4 linked regions of the Schizosaccharomyces pombe genome follow. The protein of the gene in region 4 binds, or shares a complex with, the protein of the main gene of each other region. Each region holds a gene or a part of one and is shown on either strand. Other genes may lie near its edges.

The links.
Region 1: rrp43 (region 4) and rrp41 share a complex: the UniProt entries of both Schizosaccharomyces pombe proteins name them as parts of the RNA exosome complex.
Region 2: rrp43 (region 4) and mtr3 share a complex: the UniProt entries of both Schizosaccharomyces pombe proteins name them as parts of the RNA exosome complex.
Region 3: rrp43 (region 4) and rrp46 share a complex: the UniProt entries of both Schizosaccharomyces pombe proteins name them as parts of the RNA exosome complex.

Annotation. Positions count from the first base shown.
Region 1 is NC_003424.3:3,160,577-3,165,287, reverse strand, and holds rrp41 (exosome 3'-5' phosphorolytic exoribonuclease Rrp41), read right to left. Parts: upstream 2,162-4,711; 5' UTR 2,068-2,161; coding exon 2,065-2,067; exon of another isoform or gene 2,017-2,064; coding exon 1,977-2,016; exon of another isoform or gene 1,866-1,976; coding exon 1,180-1,865; 3' UTR 934-1,179; downstream 1-933. Other genes in the region: ppt2 (holo-[acyl-carrier-protein] synthase new8), read left to right, coding at 2,434-2,618, 2,677-2,765, 2,845-2,969; pdc201 (pyruvate decarboxylase), read right to left, coding at 3,346-4,711. UniProt on the Schizosaccharomyces pombe protein: Non-catalytic component of the RNA exosome complex which has 3'->5' exoribonuclease activity and participates in a multitude of cellular RNA processing and degradation events.
Region 2 is NC_003423.3:3,885,404-3,890,454, reverse strand, and holds mtr3 (exosome complex component mtr3), read left to right. Parts: upstream 1-2,137; 5' UTR 2,138-2,176; coding exon 2,177-2,291; exon of another isoform or gene 2,292-2,329; coding exon 2,330-2,988; 3' UTR 2,989-3,550; downstream 3,551-5,051. Other genes in the region: uba1 (ubiquitin-activating enzyme E1), read right to left, coding at 1-1,522, 1,631-1,695, 1,754-1,759; ubiquitin conjugating enzyme Ubc8, read left to right, coding at 3,889-4,443; gamma tubulin complex GCP4 subunit Gfh1, read right to left, coding at 4,789-5,051. UniProt on the Schizosaccharomyces pombe protein: Non-catalytic component of the RNA exosome complex which has 3'->5' exoribonuclease activity and participates in a multitude of cellular RNA processing and degradation events.
Region 3 is NC_003423.3:636,693-642,533, reverse strand, and holds rrp46 (exosome subunit Rrp46), read right to left. Parts: upstream 3,203-5,841; 5' UTR 3,161-3,202; coding exon 3,106-3,160; exon of another isoform or gene 3,023-3,105; coding exon 2,397-3,022; 3' UTR 1,191-2,396; downstream 1-1,190. Other genes in the region: ndi1 (NADH dehydrogenase), read right to left, coding at 1-848; AFG1 family ATPase, read right to left, coding at 3,516-4,880. UniProt on the Schizosaccharomyces pombe protein: Non-catalytic component of the RNA exosome complex which has 3'->5' exoribonuclease activity and participates in a multitude of cellular RNA processing and degradation events.
Region 4 is NC_003423.3:3,331,182-3,336,237, forward strand, and holds rrp43 (exosome subunit Rrp43), read right to left. Parts: upstream 1,765-5,056; 5' UTR 1,589-1,764; coding exon 1,545-1,588; exon of another isoform or gene 1,447-1,544; coding exon 1,111-1,446; intron 1,005-1,110; coding exon 572-1,004; 3' UTR 501-571; downstream 1-500. Other genes in the region: dph2 (diphthamide biosynthesis protein), read left to right, coding at 1-315; RNA polymerase I upstream activation factor complex subunit Acr1, read left to right, coding at 2,422-3,174; protein rhs1, read left to right, coding at 3,929-5,035. UniProt on the Schizosaccharomyces pombe protein: Non-catalytic component of the RNA exosome complex which has 3'->5' exoribonuclease activity and participates in a multitude of cellular RNA processing and degradation events.

The sequences.
Region 1 (4,711 bases), on a different chromosome or scaffold from region 4:
TGTTGAAGGCATATTTCAGTATGCTGTCTAGTAAAAACAATTGAAAACAATAAAACGTACAAAACTTAAATCAGGCCGCGATGAACTGGTATGTATATAATTGCCAGATATTTGCGCAACGGTATTCTTGACAGTGCTATGAAAGCATCAAAAACAGAAAGGGGAAACTTAGTCATGCAGTTTGACGAAGTTTCATTTTTACTTTGGTTGAACGGCACGAGATTCCTCATTTTTAAAACGAAGGTAATATTAACTGTTGATCCTACAGCGATTCTTCCATTTTATTAATCAAGATGTCCTTGAAATCAGCAATCAACTAGTAACGGCAGAATTTGAGTATGTATATTCGATGAATTGTGAGAAACCCTATTTACAAGAATATGCATTAATAAGTATCTTAGTATACTCATTTTGTAGCTTTCAATGCTTATTAGAAAGGCCGATCTGTGATCGAAAAATATAAAAACTGCTCCGGCAGTGACTCGAACACTGGACCTCCTGTTTACGAGACAGGCGCTCTACCACTGAGCTACAAGAGCTACTGTTAGTTTGCACCATTATAGAAATATATAAAATAAAAATACTGTGTTTTTCATATTTTAACATTAACAAATTTAACATTTATCTCGAAAAACAGTTTTACGATTCTCATAATAAACCTTAGGTTTCTTATATCTAAAAATCTAAAAAAATATATATATATATATATATTTTCTTTTTAATCCACATCAATCTGTAATATCTGTTGAATGAAAAATTCCCGGTTGTTTATGAAAGCCTCCCCCAAAAAATAATCAATTTATTATAATAAGTGAGATCTGAATAACCGAATTTATTCATAAAATCTTCAACTAATTAATGAGCCTTTTTTGATGCATAATATCTACAGTACAATCCATATTTTTTGTAATATAAGCCCCTTTAGACAAAAAAGGGACGCAATCATTAAAAGATTATATACGATATTCGAGGTGATTTTTTTGATACTTATACAGAAATACCAAGGATAAGGACAAAAACGTTGTACTAGGAATAAAATGAGTAAAGCTGTATACGTTTTGTCAGAATATCGTAGAGCTAAGTAAAGTTGCAATTGTGATGACTTATCAATGTATAATTATAAAAATTAATCTTCCCGTTCATTTATTTTTAATAGTTTTTTTCCCCAAAATTTTGTCATTAGCTGAGACTTGCAAGTGCCGGTTTAGCGCTTTGTCGAACCGCACTTTGCATCGTGTTATAAATATGTTCTGATCCAGCGATCGCCATATTCATTACTGACTCCAAATAATCCAAATGCATACTAGTTTCCAGCTGCATATATACGACCTTTTTTATGTTCCCCAAAACAGCAACCGTCAACCATGAAAGAGCTGACTCCTCTAGTGAGTTTAAATCCAACAGCATATCAGACTCAACAATCCCAGCTGTACTACAGCAAACGAAATCTTTAACTGGTATACCAGCATCTATTAAGGCAAGAGTAGTAGCGTTGATACAAGATGCCATTACTGCACCATCATCTTGTAAAACATGCAAGTAGACAGAAATTTGACTTCTGGGATATAATTCTGTTTGAATTATCTCCTCAAATGTATTTTGTAAAGCTAAACATTGCAATTGAATTCTCCTATCCGATTTAAATCTCTTTTTCACATCTATTGTGCTGAAAGAAGCAATGTTTATTTCGACATTCACAAATGTTCTGTCAGCTCTAGCTTTGGACTTTATTACAGGCTCCGAGGGTCCATCGACTATACACAAGACCTTTGTGTTACCCAATTCAATAAACGCCGACCCATTCTCCGAAGGCTCGATTCCAATACGACACTGAAAGTTTCTCATCTCATCCCACCGTCGACCATCTTGCAACAAATATTAGCACACAGAAAGATTAATACATTTTATAAGAATCATAGATGTTTGAATGTAAATTTTAAGTTTCTTTTTCATTTCCCATAAATGAATTGGCTTACCATTTCGAAGACCTTCAAGGGATAAAATCTCAAAGTGTGACTATATGGTTAGTACTCGTATTATCTAGAGATAAATTCTATCTCTTACCATATGAAATTTTTTTTTTCGTGATTGAAAGGATTACAAATATATAATTTTTGGTTCCCTTTGAACACTTTTGTAACTGGGAGTGAGTAGAGAGTACACTTGTTACAGTAAAAACTCCTGCTACTGCATTCGCTACGAAACGAATTGGATTTGATGTCTTTGGGGGCACTAATCGATAATGAATTAGATAAATTTATTTCATTTTATTTAAGGATAAAGATTTTTATATCTCGTTTAGTGTGTCGGAAATTTAGTTTACAATATATTATTAATTAAGCGTTCAAAATTATTGAAGCCATAGATTTCTTTTTTTCTTCTTGCATTACCATTAATATTTCCTGTTCATGTTATAAAGAATCAAAAATCGAAATGGGTTTAGGGATTGACATTTTAAAAATTTCAAGAATCTCAAGATTAATTCAACGCTCTCCTGAATGGGAAAAGAACTTTTTAAAAAAATGTCTGTGTGAAAATGAAATTAAAAAGTACAACCTGATTAAAAGCAATTCCTCGCTGCCTCGTTTAAGCGAACAGGCTAAATGGCTTGCTGTTAGGTATGCTTGTCTATATTTATGATCGTTTCATAGTTTTAACGGTTATTTTCCTATGTAGATGGTGCGTCAAAGAAGCTGTTTTCAAAGCTTTACAACCGAATTTTCGAGTTTACATGTCTATGATGGAGTATGTTCGAACTCCCACAGGTGTGTCATTTGTTTTCCATGTTCAATGTTTAAAAATAAAAGGTTTGTAAAGTTACTGACTTTGTTATGATTAATATAGGCTACCCTTCCGTTGTTATTCATGATCCCCGATTTCCGCTTTCTCCCGTAATGGTATCTGTAAGCCATGAGGAAGATTTGGTTGTAGCGAATGCTTTGTATCTACCATCTATGCCAAAGACATAGACGAGAGACCAAATTGAAGGTACTATATTATTTAGTGATTCTATTGCTGCTACTCATTACCAGTCGTCTCAATGACCTTTTTTTATGTTATTGAGTTTATACTAACAGGGAATTATCTGGACAAGTCTACCTTGGAGTAAGGGGATGCAAAAAGAAAAAAAAAATAAATCATTCAATGAATCCTAATTACCAACAAAAAAACAACCGCTGCATAAACTTCAATATATTCATTCATTTTATGAAAGAAATATGGATTGACGTAGAAAAAAAAAACGACTGTTGCAAATTAACTAACCTAACAAAAGCATCATTTGAGAAATATTGTAAATTTCAAAATCAAAAACATATCATAATAATATAGCCATAGCCATATTTTTTACTGCTTGTTAAGAGAAGCGGTAAGTTTGGCTTGCTCAATCAAAACACGAGGAGCATCCAAGACAGGCATATGAACTTCAACGAGCTGAATTACATCAGCTTTTCCAAATTCCTCATCTTTAAAGAGATCGAGGAGCTCCTTTTCTGAATGAATGTTATAGGAGCGAGAATTTTTGGCACCATAGCCTTTAAGAAGGTTTTGATAGTCCCATTCAGTGTTGATGTCGTTGTAAACAGCGTGAAGACCGTGAATGAGACGTTCAATTGTATATCCCTTATTGTTAATTACAAATATGATAGGGGTGAGACCGTTACGGATGGTAGCAGAAATTTCCTGAACAGTTAAATGAAGGGAACCGTCACCAACAATCAATATGGAACGACGGTGAGGAGCATCGGAATCCTTGATGCCCAACGTAGCACCAAACATAGCGCCAACCGACCAACCAATTGAGCCCCATAATACCTGTGAGAGATTTTGGCAGCCTTTGGGGAAAATGCAATCCAAAATACCAAAGTTGGAGGTACCTGTCTCGGTAGTCACTACATCGGACTCACGAAGAAAAGAGGCAAACGTAGGCCAGAACCATTTGTGGGTAATGGTTCCTTCGGCGTAACCCTCAGCAGCAACAGCCTTTGGTGGCTCAAAGTGAACAGGACGGGCCTTTGCCTGAACGGACTTTTTGTCAATGGCAGCGGTGAGCTTGGGCAACAAATGTTTCATCGAAATGCCCTCGTAAACGCCAGAACGAATTTTGGTGTAGTCGGAATGAAATTCGATGGTTTGAGATGCAGGGGTAGCATAAGTAAAGGTGCCCGAGTTGAAATCGGAGCGAAGACCACCGATGATGAGAAGCAAGTCAGTAGATTCGGCACGTTCTTTGATGGAAGGCTCGGTCAAGGAGCCAATGTAGACGCCATCAAAGTAGGGGGATGACTCATTGATCGCAGTCTTACCCATGGGAGTAACGTAAGTGGGGAAATGGGTCGCATCAATAAAGTCTTGGGTTTCCTGTTGAATGTGGAAGCGGGAAACACAAGCGTCAACGAGGATAGAAGGGTTCTTGGATTTTTCGATCAATTCGAGAATCTCAGAAACCACCTCGTGCTCAATCTCCTTGTTGTTTTCGGGAACAGGGAAAACCAATGGAGTCTTCAAGGGAGAAGCATCCGTGTAGAAGTAGCCGGCGTCCGAAGGAACGGCCAGATAAACGGGTCTTGAAGTGCGAACGCACGTTTCCAACAGGTTGTCGATGAGACGACCGGCAGAGTCACCGCTATCCAGGAAGGCGACATCGGCAGACAACTCGGAGGACATACGCTGGAAGACTTTAAAGTCACCATTTCCCAGTGTGTGATGAAGA
Region 2 (5,051 bases), 560 kb from region 4:
TAAAGATAACTTTTCAAAGAATTCATCGCCAAATATGCCTTCGCTTTCTGGTCCAACACGTTCTTGATATGAAGTTATTTTACCAGTCAATGAAGGATTCATGATTGAAACAGCGGTAGAAGCACATTCGGACTTCAGCTTTCCGACGTCACGAGGACGAAAGAGAAATTGACGATTCAAATTCGATTTTTCAATGGAGTCCATATCAGTAACAGAAATATGACCACTTTCACCAGTAGCGACACCCATCATAGCCCAGTTTTTCAGCATTTCACATCCAATAGCGCCAGCACCAACCAAAAACGTACTCAAAGAAGCTATTTTCTCTTGAAATTCCGAACCGAAAACAGCGATTTGCCCATCGTATCGACAGCCACGAGGTTTACAAGTTTCTTCACTGATCGTTACAGAAGATGGCAAGCTTTCTAAGGAGTCAAAATAGAAGTATTGCTTCAATGGGTAAAATTTACTGGTGGTAGCTTTCAACACTTCCTGTGCTACAGCACCGCCCAAAAACGCGGACATTGCAACCAAATCACCTCTTGCCTGGTATGAAATTTCCTTAATTAGTTTTTCATCGAGTTCAACATCAAATTGAAGTGTGCTTGCAATTTTCTTACAAAATTCGAAAAATTCAGCTGCATCAATGTCGTTACGGGGTCGAGGCAATGAACCTTCATGCGCATCGGCAAATGCTGAAAGGGCCTGGAAAGCAATGTGGTATTGTGGAGGTCTCATCATTTTACCAAAGTCAGGATATACATATTCAGGGTCCTTGAGCGATTCGCGGAGAGATTTGAAAGATATTTTGGTTGGAACTTTAACTTGGGTAAAGACACCATTGTAACCGGCACTTCCTAAATCTTTAACAGATCCGATAGAAAAGGTATATGGACCTTTCACTTCAACTTTACGAGGAGTGCCATCATTTAAACCAGGCATACCCTTCACTTCGGTAAATTTAACAAAATCACCATTCTCCAATCCATGACGAGTTTCTTCAAGCATGGTAACAACTCCATCATCAGTAATTGAAGCGATCATTCCAGTTAAAGGTTCATTTCCATCAGTGTCAGTACAAATAAAGTTCTCACCAAAATCACAAAATATCGATCCAAAAAGACCACGGCTGTCAGCAGCAATATAAGCAATATGGTTTTTGTGTGTAAAGTCGTTAATTTCTAGCTGTTTCGTAAGAGAAGTTTCTGTGACAACCACGCATTTGAAGTTTTTTAGATACTCTGTTGAAAGTTCATCAACTACAGAAACAGGCACATATTGATTAAGCTCTGCTAACTTTGATACCGTTACTTTTGCACGAGGAACACCAATATCGTCTTCTGTAAGAAAATATTGTGATGATAAGTCCTCAATGCGTGTAGGTTGAGGATCGTAAAGAGTAACGCTTTTTACACCTGCTAGACAAACGTTCTTTGCTATTTCAACGCCTAAACCTTTGCAGCCAATGATTAAGACATTCGACTGACTCATTTGTTTCATAGCCTCATGGCCTAAAACATAACTTTAGATAAATTAGCAAGCGCTCAGTACAAGAAAGAATATAAAAACATAAAGCTAAACCAAATCAACACCGGTAATAATGACTCTTCATGTTTCTAATAAAACTTACAGTTGTCTAGAGTAAAGCCCTTCATCGATAGTATTTTGATCCGTTTGATCAATGTTCATGTTATTCTTTTGCAATGTTAGTAAGAAGCGAAAAATACTTGAATCATTTAAACAAATTACATACACTCATTACGAAACGTGGTGTTGGCAGAGGAGAGTCATACGTAGGCTATAATATAGTGTTTTTATATGTTCAAATAGCGAGCTCTTTCGTTACACATGCTTAACAATTTATTACTCATTAAATTTAAGAGCGCGCACTTGAAGTATGCTGGCTGGATAAAAAAAAATTTTGCACCATTATTCTAAAAGCATTTTTATTTTCCAGCTTACTGATTGAAACGCTTAGTCATTACAAAAATCTTTTAGATGCGATAAAATTGCTTTCTATATGTCATATATACACCGAATCAAACAATATCGTTATATATATTAAGGCATGCAAACGCGTCATCCCAAAACGCGAAGCCACCACTGAAAATCCAGGCTGCTTCTGTATTGTTTTCTTAACGGTACATCAAGGTTAAAACAAATACTCTATAAATCGATGTCAGATAGAAAGAGAGTGTATGGACCGAGTGTATCCGTTCCCCCTTATTTTGAAGAGCCAGAACAACCTGTTTTCACGCGGACTCGTGATGTTGACAGATGTCGAAAAATATGTAAGATACCGATTATTAACATTTTCACTGACAATTAGATCTAAAATTAGGGTGGGCTACTAAAGCTGTCGGTAGCAGTTATTTTGAATCAGAAAAAATAAAAATTGCATGCACAGTCTCTGGTCCTCGACCTAGTAAGACTTTTGCTTTTCGTTCATCAGCAAAGTTGAATTGTGAATTTAGATTATCCCCATTTTCTACTTCTGTTCGTCAGGGACATGTACAAACCGTCGAAGAAAAAAGCTATTCCCAAATGATTGAAGCAGCAATTTCTCCAAGTATATTACTGCATTTGTATCCGAAAAGTTCTATAGACGTTTATATTCAAGTGATTGAAAGTGACGGTGCATTAGCAACATTGGCTGCTGCTATAAGTTGCGCATCAAGTGCAATAGCTGATGCTAACATCGACTGCATAGATTTGGTGACGGGCTCGAGTGTATTATTTAATCCCAATACGGATGAATATTGGATTGATCCTGATTATGTGGATGAGCGTGCAAGGGCTGCTAAAGGTTCTGTAGTTATGGGGTACATGGCTTCTCTTGGTCACGTTACTCAAGTATGGGAAAGAGGCACTTGCTCTCCGAGTCGCCTTTCGTTTTTGACGGAAAAATGCATAAAGAATGCCAAAGATACTCGGTTAGTAATTAATCATGCACTGCTACTAGAGAAGTCGAAATCCGAAGATCCTTAGATATTGGAATTCTACCTCTATAATAATATTCTGTTGATGGCTAATATTTATACCAATTTTACAAATTACATAATCAAATTTATTTCTTTTTAAAATTCTCTTCTATTAGTTGGCAATGCTCAAGTTTTGCCTTTTTTTCCTTAACACACATTTGAAGGGAGACGCTATCTTTTCTCGACAAACAAGCAGATGACTTCCCTAAGTAGATTTTCTTCTTTGAAATCAGCTTGGCCATCCGCAAGTTACGTTTGTTATGAAAAATACGAGTAAATATTAAATTAAAGATCTTAGTTTTTATCACTCGCGAATATATTCAGTAGCCAAACGATTAACTCTTTCCAATTTTTTCCAGTCTATTTATCGATTCCAATAGAACAAAACAAATGCTGAGATTTTATTAATACATATATTTGATACTAATTTATCAAGCTGCATTGAGACGAAAGCATCTTGGTAGTACTAGAATCATTGTTACTCACATACTGTTACCTGCTTCTTATAACCTCCAAATCAGCGAAATTCCGCGTCTTCATCATAGCCAAACTTATGCTCAATTGCCTCGTTTGTAAATTAAAATATATTTAACAATAAGAAGGACGATAAAGAGGGGATTCTTCTATACAATAAAATTGCTTTCATTTAAATTAGGTCATTGATGATTATTAGTTGTTGCTTTTAAAAATTTGATATATTCACGGACAATAGGATAGAACCATTTAAAACGGAAGCTAAGAATCTTTCCAAAAGTCCAAAATAATTTGATTTTATTGAAAATTACTCGAAAACTGCTGAATTTGCGAATTTGCCTTTATTGCAGCAAATTACCGTATTTGAATACTACACTAGCTTAAAATTATTGAGTTCTTTTTTAGTTTTGAAATAAAACTATAAAAAATCAAAATGTCGAGCCCAAGGCGCAGAATTGAGACGGACGTTATGAAGCTGCTGATGAGTGATTACGAGGTAACTCTTGTCAATGATAATATGCAAGAATTTTACGTTAGGTTCCATGGACCGTCTGAAACCCCTTACTCAGGTGGAATATGGAAAGTTCATGTTGAACTGCCAAGTGAGTATCCTTGGAAATCTCCAAGTATTGGATTTGTAAATCGTATATTTCATCCCAATATCGATGAGCTTAGTGGAAGTGTTTGCTTGGACGTGATAAATCAAACTTGGTCTCCAATGTTTGATATGATTAATATTTTTGAGGTTTTTCTTCCACAGCTACTCCGTTATCCTAATGCGTCGGACCCTCTAAATGGAGAGGCAGCAGCTCTATTATTGCGAGAGCCGAATACCTACTATGCCAAGGTTCGAGATTATATCGCTCGGTATGCTAATAAAGAAGACGCTGATATAACTTTGAACGACTCTTCAGATGATGACACCATGTCTTCTATTGACACTGAATCTGGCGATGAAATTGCTGGTCCAATGGACTCTGATTTTTAAATTTCGTTACGTTGCTTTGTTTGATATACATTGATTCTTTTTTGAATTCTCTTTATGGATACTGATTGTGGCATTCAATAAACCGATGGATAGCTAAATCTGTTACACTTTTTTTTCTATTGATGCATTGAATGATTCTTTTTGCATGCTGTCGCTTGCAAAACCCGTTTGAATTTGCTTTCAATCAGTAGTCGTGACAACGATATTTAATAGGTTTATTTTCTTGAAGCTTCAAGTTACTGCAGCATAATTTACGACTATAACTCCATGATGCATAGTTAATGAGAACTAATATTTAAATAAAATAGAAAAAAAATATTAAATAAATACATTGATCATATCTACCTATAAATTAAGCTGAACAATCAGCGCGTTAATTATTTCCCTATCATACGATGGATCATTTTCTTTCTGTCGTATGCATTCAATCGAATGAGATACGTGAGCAGCTAACTGACAGTCAACTTTCGAAACTTCTTGACTACGAAATAAAGAAAGCTCATGGTAAATCGAGTTTAAAGAAATGTGTAAATCATCATCGTAAAAAAACAACATTTTCTTAGCGTAAGTCAACGTTAAAGCATGCAATTGAGAACAGTCTTGCATAC
Region 3 (5,841 bases), 2.7 Mb from region 4:
TCCTTAACGTCGTTATCAATGAAATCTTGCATCTCAGCTGCAAATTCCATTCCAGTAGGGCCACCACCAACAACAGTGATGTGTAAGAGACGAGCCCGTTCCTCGGGAGAAAGATCTTTATTGAATCGAACTTGTTCCAAGATTTCAAAGATGCGGTTAAACACCTTCTTGGCATCTCCCGCTTCTTTCAGAAAACAGCCATGGTCGCGGACACCCTGGATACCAAATGTTTGATTACCAGCTCCAATAGCAAAAACAAGCGTATCATACGGAATAACCGCTTCCTTTCCCTCGTTAGCTTCGGTCGTACCACGAATGGTAACTTTCTTAGCCGATGTGTCGATGGCAGTGCATTCAGCTTGGTGAATGTTGGAGGGATCAATTTTTCCTTTGAACAAAGCCACAATGGGCTCAGTAATACTTGGAAGTCTCAAAGTACCCACGGTACATGAAGGAAGCATAGGGGTGAATAAAAAATGGTCCCTAGGGCTCACGAGGGTAATGTTGTACAAGGACGGGTCCAAATTTTTGATTGCCGCGACTGCACCCCATCCAGAACCCAAAACAACTATGTTCTTTTTCGGAACACCAGATTTTCCTTTTGGCGAACTGTTGTTCAGTCTTCGTAAGGATTGGAAGAGGGCTACGGCACCCAACATGGACAAAGAAGAAGTAACTTCCGCCATTTCAAGTGCTCGAGAGAAAAATGATTTGTTACGGGGTGTAGGAACATTCCCACTGTTCTTTACAGCACAGGATACATGAAATGAACGAACCATCGTTTTTGAATATGGCACTGTACGAGACAGGCGAACCACAGACTGTAGTCTAGCTTTTGAGACCGACATTTTTTAAGAAAAAAGAAGTAAACAAATTTCCCCTTAAATAGGACTAAGTGATAAGTGGTAGGGAGGCGTGAGTAAAAAAATGTATGAGATAATGACAAATGTTAAAGAGCAAGCAAACTAAAGAGATAAACCCATTCAAAATTGAGCTATTTTACGATATTAATAGACAGTAATAGAAAGAGAGAACGACAACCTTGAGTCCTCTCCTAAATACACAGTGAATTACTATAACTAGCAGAAATAAGCCTTTAGAACTGCGAAAAAAAGGTATCCAATAATAGTTTTACTAGAAAAAATTGTAGTGTATTCTAAAATACCTTCTACTTTACAGAAAACGAGTTTTTCTGCTTATTTTTTTTTTAAGAAGAGATGGGGGAGTGTTGAATGTGGACGAAAGGGCTGCATAGCTGAACATTTTGTATGTAAACAATTAAGGTCTACGAAGCGCCCTAATTCCGTCATCACGGTTATTCATATCAACTTGATTGGACTCGGCAATCAAGTGTGCTGTGAGTGGGGAAAAATAACGCGGAATAAGGTTATCCATAAAAAGTATTACGTGGTAAGAAAAGAATTGCTAAATGTTAGCAACGCACTGTGTTATCACATTTAATGTTACATTGGTAGTGTATGTTATTTGTCCTAAAAAAAGTGATATGGGTGACAAATGCTATAAATTTTGTGGCATGAAGGGTGTAACTCATCGTTGAATCAGCTTATAACTGGACTGAGAACCGGGTCAATTGATCTCTATTCATAAATTGTAGCTAATAGTACCTTCAATCAAAAGTATTTAACTAAATTTATAACCGTCATATTTGGCGAACACATAAAAAAAAGGACATGTGAAAAAATATTAATACCTGCTGTAGTATAATATTACTACATTAGATTACTTTTTAGGAAAAGTTGTGCAACAGTAATTTTTTAGTGTATGGCAAATTCCCAGTTTATGAAGGCAATGCTTTGTCCTGGGTATGAATGCCTTTTATTCACTTTTCTACCTATTTTACCTTCAATGATTTCCTAAACTTAAAATTCAGTAGTATATAAGACAGCTAATGTGTGCGACCTTCCTATGTGTTTTCAAATCGTTTCTCTTAGTTAACAGCTTGATACGTTAGATAGACTCAATATGTATAGAGTAAGTGAGTGAGTGGCAAAATTAAAAAAAAAAGTCATGAGTGTATATACCCAAGGCCTTGTACTGAACGATTGTCTTATGACAGATCTTCTTTTATGATTTAACCCAAATGTATCAGCATACATTGAAGTATTGAAAGAACACATTAATTGCTAGTGAATTGAAAGAATGACAGTAAACCTTCTAATGTAGTAGGATTGTTTAGGTTCTGGTTTCTCAATTAGTAATAAACTAAAATAAATTAAAAATAACCCAATGTATATCGCCCAAGTAATATAAAATCTAAGTATAAAAATGAACAGCCAAAGATATTGTTCAAAGGTATAGTCGTTTAACAGGTACAATGGTAAATACGAAACGAAGGTCCTTGAGATGGACTTTTTACATGCACTTTATTGATTTTCTTATGCAACCACATCCATCTCAACATCCTCTTTGGGGTTCTTTTCATTTTCATGACCATCGCTCTCGTTGTACGTTTCAAAAAGCAATTCTTTCATTTTCTTAGAAACTTCCTCGGCATGCAATGGTGCTGTCTCCAGAACACGGAAAAAATCTTCTTCTGGAATGGGGCCAGCTGTTTCGAGAAAAATTAATTTGGCTGGTTCTGAGGAAATTGAATAACAAATAGTAATAATAGACTCCAATTTGTTAATTGTCCCATCGACATCAGGTTCATCTTGAGTTATTTTGTTCTTCCAGTGACAATTTATTGCACAGGGAATATATTTTAAAGAGATACCTGCGTCCAATAAAGCAAGTACCGCACCATTGATTACGGCAGCCAATGTATCTGTGCCATCTTCCTCTATTATCTGAATTGACACTTGTATAAGTGTTCTTGGATATGTGTTTAGAAATATTGCATCTTCTAGGATACCAACAATTCTGCTAGAAATCATCTTTTCCAAAGTCTCAGCGACACCACTCACAGGTTGAACCAAAACTTCAACGGTGGCCTTGTTAAGCCTTTCGTCCCTGATTTTTACATCAATAGGACCATTGACACCACAAATAACCCTAGCAGAACCTACAATGATGTTAGCATAAAGAAAATTCATTTTTTTTTAATTGGCATTTGCTTGGCTAATATACCGTGGATAATAGCATTACCTTGTTTCCATTCGCTCGAGCCATCAGACCTTGAGAGGATACCTATACGGTTCATTTCAGCTTCTATAATGCAACAAAGTTGCTTGCTTGCAGAGACAGAAGAAACGTTTCTACTTCCTTTGCACAAGTAGGAAATAAGCTAGCTTACACCTCGTTATTCGAAAACAGAATGAGAGCAGAAAAAAATGTATCAATAGTTTGGTGACAATGGGAGTTGTATTAATAAGGGTTTGTAATTAAATTCTTCCAATTTTTACTTTACTAAAGCTGAATGATAGGAGAAACTGGAATGATCTGTAACAGCCCAACCACTAAAAAATTAGAAATTACTCATAGCCATCTTTCAAAATATTTTTTTAAAAATAATACATCATGATATATAATCTCATTATAAAGGAATCACCTTTGTATTAAGGAGAATGAATCCAGGATTGTTTTTTCATTTCTGAAAGTCTACTCAAGCAACGCGTGAAGGTAAATACCTCTTCAATCCCACCAAATGCTCCATGATAGTGAGATTCAATTTTCCCCTTGGCAGCAGGATCAGCCGTAGAGGAAAGTACTTCAGAAGGTGCTGTCGGATATATTTCTTGAACTGGAACTTCAGATGATAAGATGAGTTTTCCATGGGTGTCATAAAGGGCATCAATAAATGTAATGAACCTATGGATAAGGTCTTTCGACTCGATACTCAATTTGGGAATGTCTGAAACGATGAAAACATGGTAACGGCTTGCCAATGAAAGATAGTCGGCAGCGCTTTTCGGTTCTCCACATAATTGTTCAAAGGTGAACCATGCAACGTTGCCACTTGCTTTTGGAACGATTATCTTTCTCCCAAATACTTCAACTTCGTCTTGGTGAGCAGGATCTTTCTCATCAGCGTAGCAAAGAAACCAATTTTCCAAGGCTTTCTTAACTTCTGGGCTATTAGCAGGATAAAGATATGTATCTTCTGTTTTAGATTTTAGGCGTCGGTAATCGTTTGGACTGTCCAAACAAATTACTTGAAGACGATGTTCCAAAAGTTTAATGCAAGGAATGAAGCTCTCTCTTTGTATTCCATTTTTATACAAATCAGAAGGAGCCCTATTAGAAGTAATAAAGATAACAACACCATACTTCATAAGGGCCTCAAAGAGTCTGCGTAGTAAAAGAGCGTCCGCGACATCGGTTACCTGTAATTCGTCAAAACATAGCACTGTTGTTTCTTTTGCTATTCCGGATGCAATATGATCTATAAAATCAATCTCAAACCCATAACGATCTTGCAAATCATGTGAAGTGCGATGAACTTGCATCATAAATGCATGGAAATGAATGCGCTGAGAACGAGTAACATTGGGTGGTAAGTTGTGATAAAATAGATCCATCAAAGCGGTTTTACCACAGCCCACATCACCATATAGATATATACCTTTAGGCATACCCGGTACAGGTAAAGAAGAAGTTAGAGTGGGAGACTTCTTCCTAGAAAACATTTTCTTTAAGGGGGATATCCAAGATAGGATTGATCCCTTTTCAGCTGGCATACTATCTTGCGTTATTGGAGGTTGTGTATACGATTCCAATTCGGTATACAAACGGTTGATTGCTTTAACCGCTGTTTCTTGATACGGGTCACGTTTCCATACGCCGTCATTAACTTTCTTGTTGTATACTTCAATAGGTGTATTATGAAATGTGGTAAAGCGAACTACCCTGCAAACTCCAATGCTTCCTATAGTATCAACAAAAGCAAAACAAGGAGCTGAAACACGAAGCACTTGCAGCATGATGATATGACCAAATTAAATACAAACTTTTGAACAAAAATAATGTTTCGTAAGCTAACTAAAGTAAAGAAAAAAAGTGGTTATTGATCAATTAGTGAATTCATTCAGGAATGATAAAGTGAGAGTGGATATAAAGCTGTAGAACGATTGTAGATGAAAAGCAAAAGATTAGAAAGAAAATATGTCAACTACAAGACGTACTTAGTGATTAAAGACATATGTTTTTAAGTGAATAAATATAAATCGTTGGACAGATGCATGATTATTCTTGCCTCTGAATAGCGTTCGGCAGTGCAGTTTGCTTTTATTATAGTGAATTGCGATGATTTCGGTATATGCGTTTGCGTATTGTCTTAATCATGAGCAAATGTTAATCTGAAACTAGTAAGTCAAGCCTATTTCGTTGGTAAATAGAAACCTGTTCTTAATAAAAAAATTTCTTGTTTAAAAAATTTTAAATTTAATGGAACTAAGTATAAGCAACTATACTTCCATACGATCCCAGATAGGTGGAGTTATTCTGTATATTAGTAAAAAAGTTAATCGCATGGAATTTCAATAATACATTGGAACTCATGTTATTAAAGTATTATTTATTTCTTTTCCATTTTTTGTATATTCAACAAACAATGGCAACTTTATTTTTTGTACTCAATTAAAAAGTACGAGAATAATATTAATTTGGTCAATATCAAGTATTGCTTCAGTTTGTTAATAAGTTTGACAATTGATGTTAAGTGATTTTAAGGAAATCCCGAAGAAAGAAGTTCGTATCGATAGTGAATTTAATTGGTGCTGTAGAGTATGTTTAGTTGAATTCCGTTCATTAGTTTCATAACTATTATTCCAGCAAAACGCAGATATTTATAAAACGCCTATATACGTATTTTTTGTGATTATTTGGTTTGGCTTATTAATATTTCTTATGTTTATTCTTATTTTATTTTATCTTTAGTAGACC
Region 4 (5,056 bases):
CACTTTAGTCTGATTACTGGAAAGTTTGTGAATTCAACCCCGATGCGACATTTAGACGTTACTCTTGAGACTGCCGATGCAAAGAATAATGACTCGTCCTCAGCCTCTATAGAAAAGCGTGGCATGAGAAGTCTTGCAGTGAACGGGGTTTACTCTCCAGCAGCGGCGTTTCTTCAGTCAAAATCTTGGTCGGGACTTGACAGTGTAGATGAAGGAGAAGGTCCTAGTAAATTATACGAAGGACAGAGTGGCATCGCCAAAGGATATGTTGGTGAAGGCAGCAAAGAAAAGATTCAACGTGATTTTGGTAAATAAATCGGGTATTGAGTTGATCATTCTTCCTATGCTTGTGTTTTAGAGTTTGACAAAAAAAAGTTTACTGGTTAAAGGAGATAAACAGGGTTCATAAGTTATATAAAAAAAATTTCCTACAGCATTTGAAAATCAATTAGCTTTATGACTATAGTATTTTATATTACAGCAAGATCAATATTACGTTTCAAGCATTAAAAACGAACTTGAATATTTTCAAACTTTCAAAATTTATACACCTTGATAACCCAAAAATTTGTTAGAACTTAGACCTTGCAACCTCAATACACTTTTTTAATAAAAGGGGTTGAATGTGAGTGCCTCCAAGCTTTATTATCTTAACAATATTTTTGGAGCTATTAAGCATAATTGTCAAAAATTCAGTTGAAAGGTCCTCCTCCTCGTCTGTAGGGTCGGCTAACAACTTGTCGTCAAATACTGACCATGAGAAAGAACGAACTTCAGTACTTAATTGAACTGGTCTTGTAAGGGTAGAAGCACAGATAACCCTCTCTAAATCTTCATCCCAAACAGCAGTTGGTAATTTAACAGTTTTTAAAGCGGCAAACAAAGCTGCCCATGCATAATCGAAGGCACTTCCATCATAATTTAAACAAATAATATCAGCATACAATACCCAGGCTGCTTTTTTTTCAAAAATGCATAGGGACTGTAAATTAATCAAGTTAGATCTGTATAAGTTGTTAGTAAAAGTAACTAAATATTCTAAATGATAGTTTAACAATAAATGAAACGTATGGTAGAAAATTAGAAAAATTCCAATAATTTGATACATACTGTTGCAAAGTCTGATGCAATTCCTGCGAGACAACTTGCGCCAAGTCAGAAGGAGGGCCAGGTTTAAATTTGCTACTGCAAAGAGGTGATAATTCAAGATTGGGAACAATCCAACCTTCATTGGGAGAGTTTTCAAAAGGTTCAGCAATTTCTGCTTTTATTCCACACACAAAGACATTTTCGCCAGCTCGAATGATAGCACTACCATTAGCAGTAGATATGCAATTATCATTAATTACAATTTCTCTGAATTCTGATACAGACCGCCCATCTGATCGAACATCCTGATTAAGAAGATGTGATAAATACTGCTCAGGCGTGATTTTCTTAAAAATTCTATCCAGTAAAATGTTAGTACTGTAACAAAGAAAAACAAAGTGAAAAGGAAACAGAGCACTAAAAAAGATAGAATAAGAAATCAAAGAGCAACTTACGAAGGTGTAAATGAAAGCTGTTTTACCCCCGAAACAGTTTTCATGATGTGAAAAGAATGTAGTGTTTCAATAACGAAGCTAAATGATATAGTAACGTAGAAAGACCAAATAACTGAAGAACGATACTGAAAAATATATAAAATGAATATGAATCACAAGAATTCGATATATGTGCTGAATTTTGTCTACAGGTTGAAATTATGAAATGGAGTAGAGGGATGAAATAGGTGTACGAAGTAAAGTATGAAAAACTTATATGGTAAATAAAAGGTTTGTGAGGTCCTTAAAATGTTTAAATTCCTTGGTTTTTTTTTAATTTATTGAAGGTATATTCGGTGCAAATTTCAATTAAGGATTGATAATTCATTTGAATTTTAGCTACAAAATCCCAATTCGTTTAAACGATTTTGAAAAAAGAGATCACATAATTAACATTTAAAAATGCTAATTCGAAAAAAATTTATTTAAGGCCTTTTCTACTGATTTTTTTTTTTTTAAAAAAAGGTAAAATAACAAAATTTACAATGATCCATGGTTAAAGAAAATAAGGCATAATTAAACAATTAAAAGTCAGCAGAATACATACGGAATTTGGTAAGTAGCATAATATATAGCTCTTAAATTAAAGTAAGTTATTTGGGTGCATGTTTATATTTCAAAATTTGCACACTCTTAGTTTATCGGTTGTTAGACGAAGCAAAAGTCTTATATTAATAAAAAAAAGGAAAAGTTTTTTTCTATTAGATTATAGTTAAAGGAAATTAAAAAAAAAAGTCAGTAAACACACTTAATATCGCGCCAGGTACAATGACCTTTCCTTAACCTCTAGCCTACGAACACAACAGCCGGATGCTAAACCTTCTGAGGAAATGATGCTATGAATGATTCTGAGGAAGAATTAGAGCAGCAAGGAAGTCAAGAGGATATTTCCTCTTCTCAGGATACTTCGGATGAAAAAGAAATGCGAAAGCAAGATGCTCTATACGCACAGCTAATAGAGTATCGAGAAATTGTTTCCGAACTGAGAAGATCTGAGATGAAAAATTTGTGTATTCAACTTTATTGCAGTTATAAAGCTGGTATAACTCGTCGAAATGAATTGCAAAGCGATTTGGACGGTTATGAACGAAGGATTCCACCACGTCTACGTGCAGTATGGCCTACAATTCATTCCATCCCCGATGAATCATTTTTTGATGGAACCTCGGCTTCGAGGTTTCGCCAAGAGGCTGCATATTTGGCTGTGCGTTTAGCATCAAAAAAATTACACAAGTTGGGTAGAATGGCTTCTTCTGAGGAACTGCCTAATCCGGATGGCCTCCGATACTTGGTTGAAAGGTTACAGATAAAATTGGAACGCCTTTTTGATTCGGTTGATACTTTTCGACAAGAACAGGGAAGCAAAAGCATGCAATCACGTGTAAAGCCTATGGATTGGAAGATTCTTTACGGACTTGCTCGAGTCACAAACGGTTCGTTTTCCTCGTCGCAAAAAGCAGACGTTCTTGCATTGGGCAATGGTACAAGAGCTTGTCAATCATTATTCAAAGAGATGTCGTTACAACCTAGTATTGATATTGAAAAAGTTTCACACTCTAACCCAGAAATCTCGATAGAATTTGAGGATTAAGAAATTGGTGGGAAATTTAATAAGTATGAGTATTTTGAAAAAAAACACGCATCTGTGAACAGGTCAATCTGCGTAAGTCTCAACAATTAATGTTCCAGTAAACATCTTTTGGCTGATGTATATGTTTAATTATTTGTGTAACTCCCGCCGTATTTGCACATATAGTTTTTCTGCATCCGAATTTCTTTTCTTTTTTTTTAAGTTATTTTGTTTTTGCGTTGATCTAGGAAAAAGGTTCTACGCAACAAGAATATTGTTTCAACTTTATCATGCTTACAAGTTCATCCTACACTTTAAACTGGAAGTGGCAAGTATTTGCTGAGGTTAAATCTTTACTGTTATGATACTGTTTTCCAATATATCTAAGTTACACAGTTTTACTAAATTGTATAAGCTATTTAACAGTCTATGCAAAGCTGATGGTGTGTTCGTTTAAAATAAGGGCGGCACGTGGTACTGTAACTTGAAGTCCGATGTAGAAAAAATGTGGAGATTAAGTGATAACAAATACTACGGAAATAGTAAAAAAGTCATAGAGAAGCGAAGAACGAACAGTTGCCGGATGGCAACCCAGTTACAATAGACTATCGATTACAAAAGTTAGCGAAATATTGGGAGCGGCTCCTTGGTAAACGCTGTGAAAGGAACCTATCCAAAGCAAACCACAATTGGCAGGAAATTTTTTTTGAAGTAAACAACGTTTGGTTAAAACTTTGAAAATAGGCCAATTTCAAAAAAACAACGAGTTGTCTTTATGTCGTTTGTAGATGGAGTCAACAGTTGGTTTTCGGCCGCTTCTTATTGGGATGGGCTCGGTCCAACAAATGTTGTTCAGCCAGAGGACGATTTGGCTTTTGTAAGTCAATTTGAAGAAGTTGAATCGGCTTATGACAATCTCGTAAAAAATGGTATGATTGCACCTCGTCGAAAAAATAGTTTTGCCTCCTCAGTGAACAACCCCTTTTCGACGAGTGCATTGAGCGAAGCCTTAAATGGCAGTGTTTCAATGAGTCATGTTCCCAGCTCTGGTTTGTTAAAAAGCACACTTTCGAGCACCCCTACTGCAGGCTCTAATCTGCTGGGTACGTCTCCTGCTGAACCGGCAAGTGGTTTGGTCGGTTCTAGTGGTTTTGGTTCCAGCATGCTCGGAAGCTCGTTACCAGGTAATGCTACTTCCAATTTCGGTTCACAAGCTAGTACCTCATTACTACATCCCAGGAGATCCACAACGTCTTTGCTCTCTAGTAGTGCTCATCATTCACGTTCTTCGTATTATGATCTTGCTACTCCGACACGCTCCTCCTTTTCTTACAATACTGTCGGTGCTGCTAGTTTACCATCTGGTGGGCTTTCTAATCTCTCCTCTTCATTGCGTTCTTCTTCAAAATCGGCTGGGTTTTCGTTGTTTGAATCTGCTTCAAATAGCTTTACGCCCTCTTCTTTCATAGAGTCCGCTAACATGGAATCTTTATCGATTCCTTCTCGTCGTCGACCTTCATCGATAGCTCCGATCGGTACGCGTCCTTCTCGTAAAGAGATCGCATTCAGTAATAGTTCTACTCCTACTGACCAAACGCTGAGGCCTCCAAATCCACCGGCTGCCAATGGAAATGCCACACCAGTTACAGCAGTGAACAATGTTTCTGCTGTTGCTGATTCTCCGCAGTCCACTGGCTCTTCTGTTTCTTCTTCACTACCAACACTAAGTTTGGACTTCAAGCAAGAATACAGCGGGAACAATCATGATATGTCTGGATTGTCTTCCTCTCTATCTAAATCTCATAACTCAACTTCTGCTTTAAGTTCTCAGATTTGGTCTTCTCCCTGTGCCAGTACTCTTGGAGGTGTCAACGTGTGGTAATTGCTACATTTTCTTGATGCG